2 linked regions of the Macaca mulatta genome follow. Each later gene encodes a partner of the first gene's protein in a complex. Links are inferred from orthologs where the notes say so. Each region holds a gene or a part of one and is shown in the gene's direction. Other genes may lie near its edges.

Region 1 (4,467 bases):
ACAGGGCCTTGCTCTGTCACCCAGGCTGGAGTGCAAGGCACGATCATGACTCACTGTAGCCTTGAACTCCTGGGCAGACACAATCCTCCCACCTCAGCCTCCCAAAGGTGGGGTTACAGGGTCCAGCCACTGAAACTTTCATTTTCGACACACTCCAGGTCTCTTCCCATCTTTCCTGTTAATTTTGCTAGCTAATCGCAGAGTTCTGACAGCTTTTCCTGGCCCTGTGCTGAACACACATAAAATTTCCTCAATTTTGTGCAAGGCTCTGATGTGTGATTCAATACATTACTTGCCCTTCTTAACAATACCTTACTGTTTGTTTCTCTTCAGCGAATGTTCTTTCACCCAAAGCCTGCTGAAACCTGACAATGTGTCAAACACTGTGCTATACATTGTGGATATAACATGAATAAAGCACCATTTTTTATTTGTAAATTATACCTCAATAAAGCTCTTTCTGCCTAGGAGGAGTTCGTTGTCTGGAAAGCAAAGGCAGATATGTAAACATATGTATTATAGTGCAGAGTGCTAAGTATCACACTGTGATGTGAAGAAAAACTAATTTCTTCTGGGGAAGTTGATAAAAGATCTCATAAGAAGTGACATTTCCATTGGTCTTGAACCATAAGTAGGAGTTTGCCAACCAGAGGAAAGAGTGGGAGTGAGGGCAGGGGTAAAAGAGGGCTTCCAAGGAAGGGAATCCAGTGTGCAGAGGCTCTGAAATGACCGAGGAAGATTCTGACGTGTTCCGGGAAGTCTGCTGGGTTTGGTGCGGTTCGGTGCATGGTGGAGTAATGGTGGGAGGGGAAAACGGATGAAATTAAGAGGGCCCAGTTGAAGCAGGAGGATTGAATTTTATTCTAGAGGCAAGAAGAGAAAGAGAAAACTTTAAGCAGGGGAGGAAACGATCAGTTTTGTCTCTTACTTGTTCGTTTCGTCACAGACCTTCGGGTTTTGGAATATGAGGTGCTCTGCTTGCTTAATCAGAGGAGCTCGGGCAGCCTCTGAGCTGAAACACGGCTTTCTTTTCAGGTCTAGAAACGGCATGTTTTCAATATACCCAGGGCTACCAAGTCTGATCCCAGTGCCCACTTGTGCTAATGACGTTGGCCAGGGGGGATGCCAATTTACTAACCTAAGCCTGTCCTTCAAATATTCTTTCTCTCTCTTTGGCTAGGGTTGGACACGTTCTGACAACTTTTGTCTCTTTGAACCCCGTTTTTCCGTTCTGATAATCTTTTTCTTCAGTTATGCTGGCCATGTCTTTAAATACGTTGCTAACGTTTTGGCTCATCTTACCCTATGTTTTAATCCCTCAGATACACACTACGCTGACAGCCACGCCCACCCAAGGAATTTCCGAAACAGAAAGTTTGTCTGCAACAGCGCGCCGTACGAACGTACAGTGCGCAGGCGCAGTCTGGCTACCGGCGGCGTGTTCCTCTTTCCCCCCGGTTTCCAGTGTCCTGGCAGGTAAGGAACGCCGCCTCTTCACCTCTCAGCGCGGCTTGCCCTTTGTTCCGGACGCCCACTTCTCAGCCCTCCGGCTCCTGGTGTCGCTGCTGTAGGCCACACGCGTCCACCGGCAACAGACCCATGGCCGAGCGCGGGGAACTCGACCTGACCGGCGCCAAACAGAACACAGGAGTGTGGCTAGTCAAGGTAATGTTCACGAGTCTCCCACTTGCGCTCCTCCTAACACAAGTATAATTTAAGTAACTTGAGCCCATCCCGCTCCGTGCACCTCTTAAAGTTCTTTTACGGCTATCTCGTTAGAGCTTCACATATTTTGAGAGGCAGGAGTCATTGTTGTATCTGTTTGCAGATGAGGAGATTAGTTTAGGGACGCAAAGTGTCTTTCAGCCGGTTACTGGTCTGAATCAGCCTGGACTAGATCTCTTTCTCACGGCTTTCCTGGAGCCCTGTCTTGGTGTTCCTAGACTTGGGCGGTGCATTTTATCCCAGACCGAAGAATTACTTGTATCTTTCCCTTGGTGAAACTGGTTTTAGCCATGAGCCTGTGTGAGGTAGTTGAATGTCTGCTTTCTGTACAGTTTTTTCGGCGAGAAACTAGAACTGGTCCCTGCGTACTCTTATTCTCTTAGGTAAATGGTCCTTAATGAAGCTCTCAAAAGAGGCGAGAGAGCCCTGAACAAACAGAAGGAGAGGTCAGGAGAGGTCATTGGACTGGAGTATTCTTTCAGAGCACATTTGGGTCTGATGAAACTGGCCGTCAATAAATGTTTTATGTAAAGACAGCAATTTTGGTTGGCTCACAGCGGGCACTATTTGTGCTTTACTGTTTCATGTTGGGAAGTGTTTTCTCCTAGGGGAGTTTCATAATACTTAAGCAAATTCAAAATGTGATCCTGAAAGTCGTTGAGACTTAAAATGTAAGGACTTTCGGTTTCTTAATGCTTTAACTGATTTATCATATGGCTGAGTTCTCGTCAATTAAATCTAAGAGGTCTTTCTTGTCGGCCTTCTTAAAAATGGCTCCCTTATGATCATTTGCTAACACGACAGATCCGTATTACATTCTTTCTTTTCTTTTTTTCTTTTTTTTTTTTTTTGAATCAGAGTCTTGCTCTGTCGCCCAATCTGGAGTGCAGTAGTGCGATCTTGGCTCACTGCAAGCTCCGCCTCCCAGGTTCACGCCATTCTCCTCTCTCAGCCTCCCGAATAACTGGGACTACAGGCACTCGCCCCCACGCCCGGCTAATTTTTTGTATTTTTAGTAGAGACAGGGTTTCACCGTGTTAGCCAGGATGGTCTCGATCTCCTGACCTCGTGATCCGCCCGCCTTGGCCTCCCAAAGTGCTGGGATTACAGGCGTGAGCCACCGCACCTGGCCGTTACATTCTTCAAAGCACTTTTCACAGTGTAGAGTGATTTTGTGTTAATATGTTCAAAGTTGGTTACCTCCGTCTTTCCAACACACAAAATCACATTCCATGAGATTGGATCTTTGCCTGTCATACCCAGAATAGTGTTTGGCACATGGTAATTACTCAACAAAAAGGTGATGAATAAATGCATGACCTCTCATTCTTTAACCCTCGCCTTAATCTGTGGCACTGATTTGACTTATTTCCAAGCTCAGTGTGACTTAAAAGGATGAATTAAATAGGCATTTCTCTCTCCAGCAGCGTGTTAATTGGAGGAGAGTCACTAAGGAGGAGATGGCCCTTGCAGACTGAAGGAAAAAGCTTGAAAAAATGGTGTGACTTGAGATGGTGCCATTGTTCTAGGAGCATGGTAAATGCTCAGTGTTTACGCCTTACAGGATTTGGGTGGGTGGACATAGCATATACCATGGGGAATGGAACAGAAATGCAAGACTCAAAATACATAATCAGCATGGTGTGTCGTGGAAAACAGAGAGAACCTAGAGCAGAAGATCTGTGTAGATAAAGGTTGGGACCATATACTCAGATTGTCATATCATGAAACGGAGATGTTCTAACTTTAGTTTACAAGGAAGTAACAAACTTTTTGGAGGATTTGAGTGAGGGAGAGATGCCAAATATTTATTCAGAAAAAAAAAAGTTTGGCAGTGTGCAGTACGAATTAGAGGGGAGGGTAAGTAACCAGAGTCACATTTAGAAAATCATCACAGGATTGGGCCGGGCACGGTGGCTCACACCTGTAATCCCAACACTTTGAGAGGCCGAGACAGGTGGATCATGAGGTCAATAGTTTGAGACTAGCCTGGCCAGTATGGTGAAATCCCATCTCTACTAAAAATACCAAAATTAGCCGGTTATGGTGGCATGCGCCTGTATTCCCAGCTACTCAGGAGACTAAGGCAGAAGAATTGCTTGAAACTGGGAGGCGGAGGTTGCAGTGAGCTGAGATTGCTCCGTTGCACTCCAGCCTGGGCAACAGAACAAAAACTCCATCTCAGAAAAAAAAAAAAAAAGAAGTAGTAACTTGTTGCTTAGAAAGTGTGTCTTCATTCTCATCTCATCAGAATTTTATTTGAACTACGTATTGATTTCAAGTTTTTTCTCCTTACATTAATATTTTCTGTTAAAAATAATACCTTGAGTTCTGATCTTTGTTGCTGAAAAATGTTTCTTCCTAGGATATATCAAGGTCATCTTGTACATATTTAATTCCATCACCAGTTACAGAACTGTGTAAATGCAGTAAGGACTGTACATACAAGATCTCTTAGAGTTTTGAGCAGGAAAAAAATTAATGCTTCACCAGAACTGGAAAGACATCATAGAGAAGGTGATGTTTAAGAAGAGCCTGTTTGGAGGTTGCAGTGAGTCGAGATTGTGCCACTGCGCTCCTGCCTGGGCAACTAGAGTGACACCCTGTCTCAAAAAATAAATAAATAAATAAATAAATTGGATGTGAGTGTGATCTGGCTGGGACATCTGTCACCCCATTGATCACCAGGGTTGATTTGGCTAATCTGGCTGGCTAGGTGGGTGTCCCCTTCCTCCCACTCCA
Region 2 (3,147 bases), on another chromosome or scaffold:
AATATGGTGAAACCGTATCTCTACTAAAAATACAAAAATTAGCCAGGCATCGTGGCATGTGCATGTAGTCCCAGCTACTCGGGAGGCTGAGGCATGAGAATCACTTGAACGTGGGAGGTGGAGGTTGCAGTGAGTTGAAATTGCACCACTGCACTCCAGAGTGAACAACAGAGCAAGATTCTGTCTCAAAGTAAATACATAAATAAATACAAATGAAAGCTTAAAAAAAAAGAGAAGAGGGCTGGGTGTGCTGGCTTACACCTATAATCCCAGTGCTTTGGGAGGCAGAAGTGGGAAGATTGCTTGAGCCTAGGAGTTTGAGACCAGCCTGGGCAACATAGCAAGACTCTGTCTCTACAAAAAGTTTTAAAAAATTAGCCTAGCATGGTGGTGTGCACCTGTGGTCTCAGCTACTTGGAAGGCTGAGGTGGCAGGATTGCTTGAGCCCAGGAATTCAAAGGTACAGTGAGCTGTGATTACACCACTGCTTTCCAACCTGGGCAACAGTGAGAACCTGTCTCAAAATTTAGAAAGCAAAAAACAAAAACACAACACTTGAGGGGACAAAGAAAAGCAAGATCACTCTTTTTTTTTTTTTTGAGACGGAGTCTTGCTCTGTTGCCAGGCTGGAGTACAATGGCGAGATCTGGCTCACTGCAACCTCCGCCTCCCGGGTTCAAACGATTCTCCTGCCTCAGTCTCTTGAGTAGCTGGGATTACAGGTGCGCTACCACACCCAGCTAATTTTTGTATTTTTAGCAGAGACAAGGTTTCACCATGTTGGTCAGGCTGGTCTTGAACTTGTGACCTCATGATCCACCCGCCTCGGCCCCCCCAAAGTGCTGGGATTATAGGCATAAGCCACCGTGCATGACCATAAGATCACTCATTTTTTTCTAGGTTGGACTCTTCACAGAAATTGGACCCATGTCTTGCTTCATCTCTCGACACGTAAGTCTAGGCACACTGGGTGGGGCTGAGGAAGAGAGATACCCATTCATTACCATCTACTGAAGCATCCTTTTAAAGTGCTACCCTAATCTCACTTTCCTTTCAGTCCATCCCTTCAGAGATGGAGTTTGATCCTAACTCCAACCCACCATGTTACAAGACAATGGATGAGGTAAGTGGACAGAAAGAAGTCAGGAAGAGGAAGAGAGAATCAGTCATCCTGAGGGAGAATATTGGCCTGAGGATGGCCGAGCACAGATGGTCCCTGAATTACCATGGCTTGATTCATGATTTTATGACTTTACGATGATGCGAAAGTGATGTGCTTTCAATATGCCCCCGGGCTTACGGTGAAGTAGTTGTGATGTAACCTCTCATAAACTGAGGAGCATCTGTACACTGTTCCCTCCTCTCCCCAGGATATTGTGATTCAGCAGGACGATGAGATCCGCTTAAAGATTGTGGGGACCCGTGTGGACAAGAATGACATTGTGAGTCTTTTCCCCACCTCTACCTATACCAGGCTGAGCGGAGAGCTGTTGGATTTCTTGCCACCTAGTTTCAGGGGGTTCTATGCTCTTCTGTCAGGAAGAAGGGATGGATGGGCAGAAGGCCTGGGGCTGCGGGGTAGAGGTTGGTTCTGTGCTCATCTTGGCTTCACTTTCTTTTTTTTTTTTTTTTTTTTTTTGAGACGGAGTCTCGCTTTGTCGCCCAGGCTGGAGTGCAGTGGCCGGATCTCAGCTCACTGCAAGCTCCGCCTCCCGGGTTTACGCCATTCTCCTGCCTCAGCCTCCCGAGTAGCTGGGACTACTGGCGCCCACCACCTCGCCCGGCTAGTTTTTTGTATTTTTAGTAGAGATGGGGTTTCACCATGTTAGCCAGGATGGTCTCGATCTCCTGACCTCGTGATCCGCCCGTCTCGGCCTCCCAAAGTGCTGGGATTACAGGCTTGAGCCACCGCGCCCGGCCTTCACTTTCTTTTTACCATCTTTCCTGCAGTTTGCTATTGGCTCCCTGATGGACGATTACTTGGGTGAGTGCCTGATCATATGGGCTGGGGTTATTGCCTGGAGAAGGGGTGTGTAGGGGTGGGGAGTAATACAGGATTTAATGCCCAAATGAGAGAGAGACAGAAGAAACTTTCACGCTGTCTGGTTGAAAGATCCAGGACACGTTCCTTGGGATGAGAAGTACATGGTTGTGGCTGCCCCCAAATTCTGGGTCTAACTGATGCACTTTTTCTGGTTTCACAGGGCTTGTAAGCTGAGCCTAGTGGCTTCCTACCCTTGGTCCTGATGTAGGAAGTGTGATTGTCACACTTACCGTGTTGTCCAGAGGTCCAGTCTGGCTGCTGTTGTGGAGGCAAGGAAGGCAACTCATTCCAGAAGGCATCTGGTGCTTCTTTTAGCTTAGCTACTGCCTCCTGATTTTTCAGTATGTGTTCTAAGTATAAAAAGTCCTTGGTTCTCATGGAAGTGTTATCCTCTTTTTTTTTTTTTTTTTTTTTTTTTAGCAGTAACAATAACTCTTTAAGGAGGCTGTGGAGTTGTCTGCTTACTAGCCCCTCTTTCTTATACTGATGCGTCTGCTATCCTCAGCCACCCAGGGGAGCTGACTAACCCATTTGTCCAGGTTTAAAGGTGACCTCATTGAAGTCAAGGCTCTGATGTTGGGTCTTTGGCTTCCAGCAAATGATACAGTCATTAGCGGCATTCTGAGTACTGATATAGTTCCAGAGTGTTTGCTCTTCTCCTGCCCTTAAAAGTAACCAAGAGCATAACTGGGAAAGAAGGGAGAGGAGACAGCAGACAGGGAGAGATGAACAAGAGGCTAGTAATGACAGGCTATAGGATCTCAACACAGCCCTTCCTAAGATGGGTATATACACAACAGTGTATCACTATACTACACTGAACTGAAGATGTAAAAGGGCTCAGAATCTAGTTAGGGTACAAAAATGTATGAAATACCTATAGGATTAAACAAACATGCCAATTTTCCCTGACACTATACCTCGGCAATACTATTTGTCTACCTTGGACTGCCCTTTCCCAGCTTGTCCATTTCCTATCTACTAATCTGTGAAATTTCATTTCAGTTATGTTTTTTTTTTTTTTTTTCTTTAACTTTCTTTGACTACCTTGGGAAGCAGAGCTCTAGCAGAAAACAAGAAAGCATGGTATTCGGATTGATACA

The links.
Region 2: GTF2F2 (region 1) and POLR2G share a complex: the UniProt entries of both Homo sapiens proteins name them as parts of the TBP-based Pol II pre-initiation complex. The link is inferred for Macaca mulatta from reciprocal best matches to the Homo sapiens genes GTF2F2 and POLR2G.

The regions. Positions count from the first base shown.
Region 1 is NC_133422.1:24,430,604-24,435,070, forward strand, and holds the start of GTF2F2 (general transcription factor IIF subunit 2), read left to right. Parts: upstream 1-1,452; 5' UTR 1,453-1,599; coding exon 1,600-1,665; intron 1,666-4,467. UniProt on the Homo sapiens protein: TFIIF is a general transcription initiation factor that binds to RNA polymerase II and helps to recruit it to the initiation complex in collaboration with TFIIB.
Region 2 is NC_133419.1:11,294,556-11,297,702, reverse strand, and holds the end of POLR2G (DNA-directed RNA polymerase II subunit RPB7), read left to right. Parts: intron 1-900; coding exon 901-951; intron 952-1,057; coding exon 1,058-1,123; intron 1,124-1,370; coding exon 1,371-1,442; intron 1,443-1,950; coding exon 1,951-1,984; intron 1,985-2,204; coding exon 2,205-2,218; 3' UTR 2,219-2,425; downstream 2,426-3,147. UniProt on the Homo sapiens protein: Core component of RNA polymerase II (Pol II), a DNA-dependent RNA polymerase which synthesizes mRNA precursors and many functional non-coding RNAs using the four ribonucleoside triphosphates as substrates.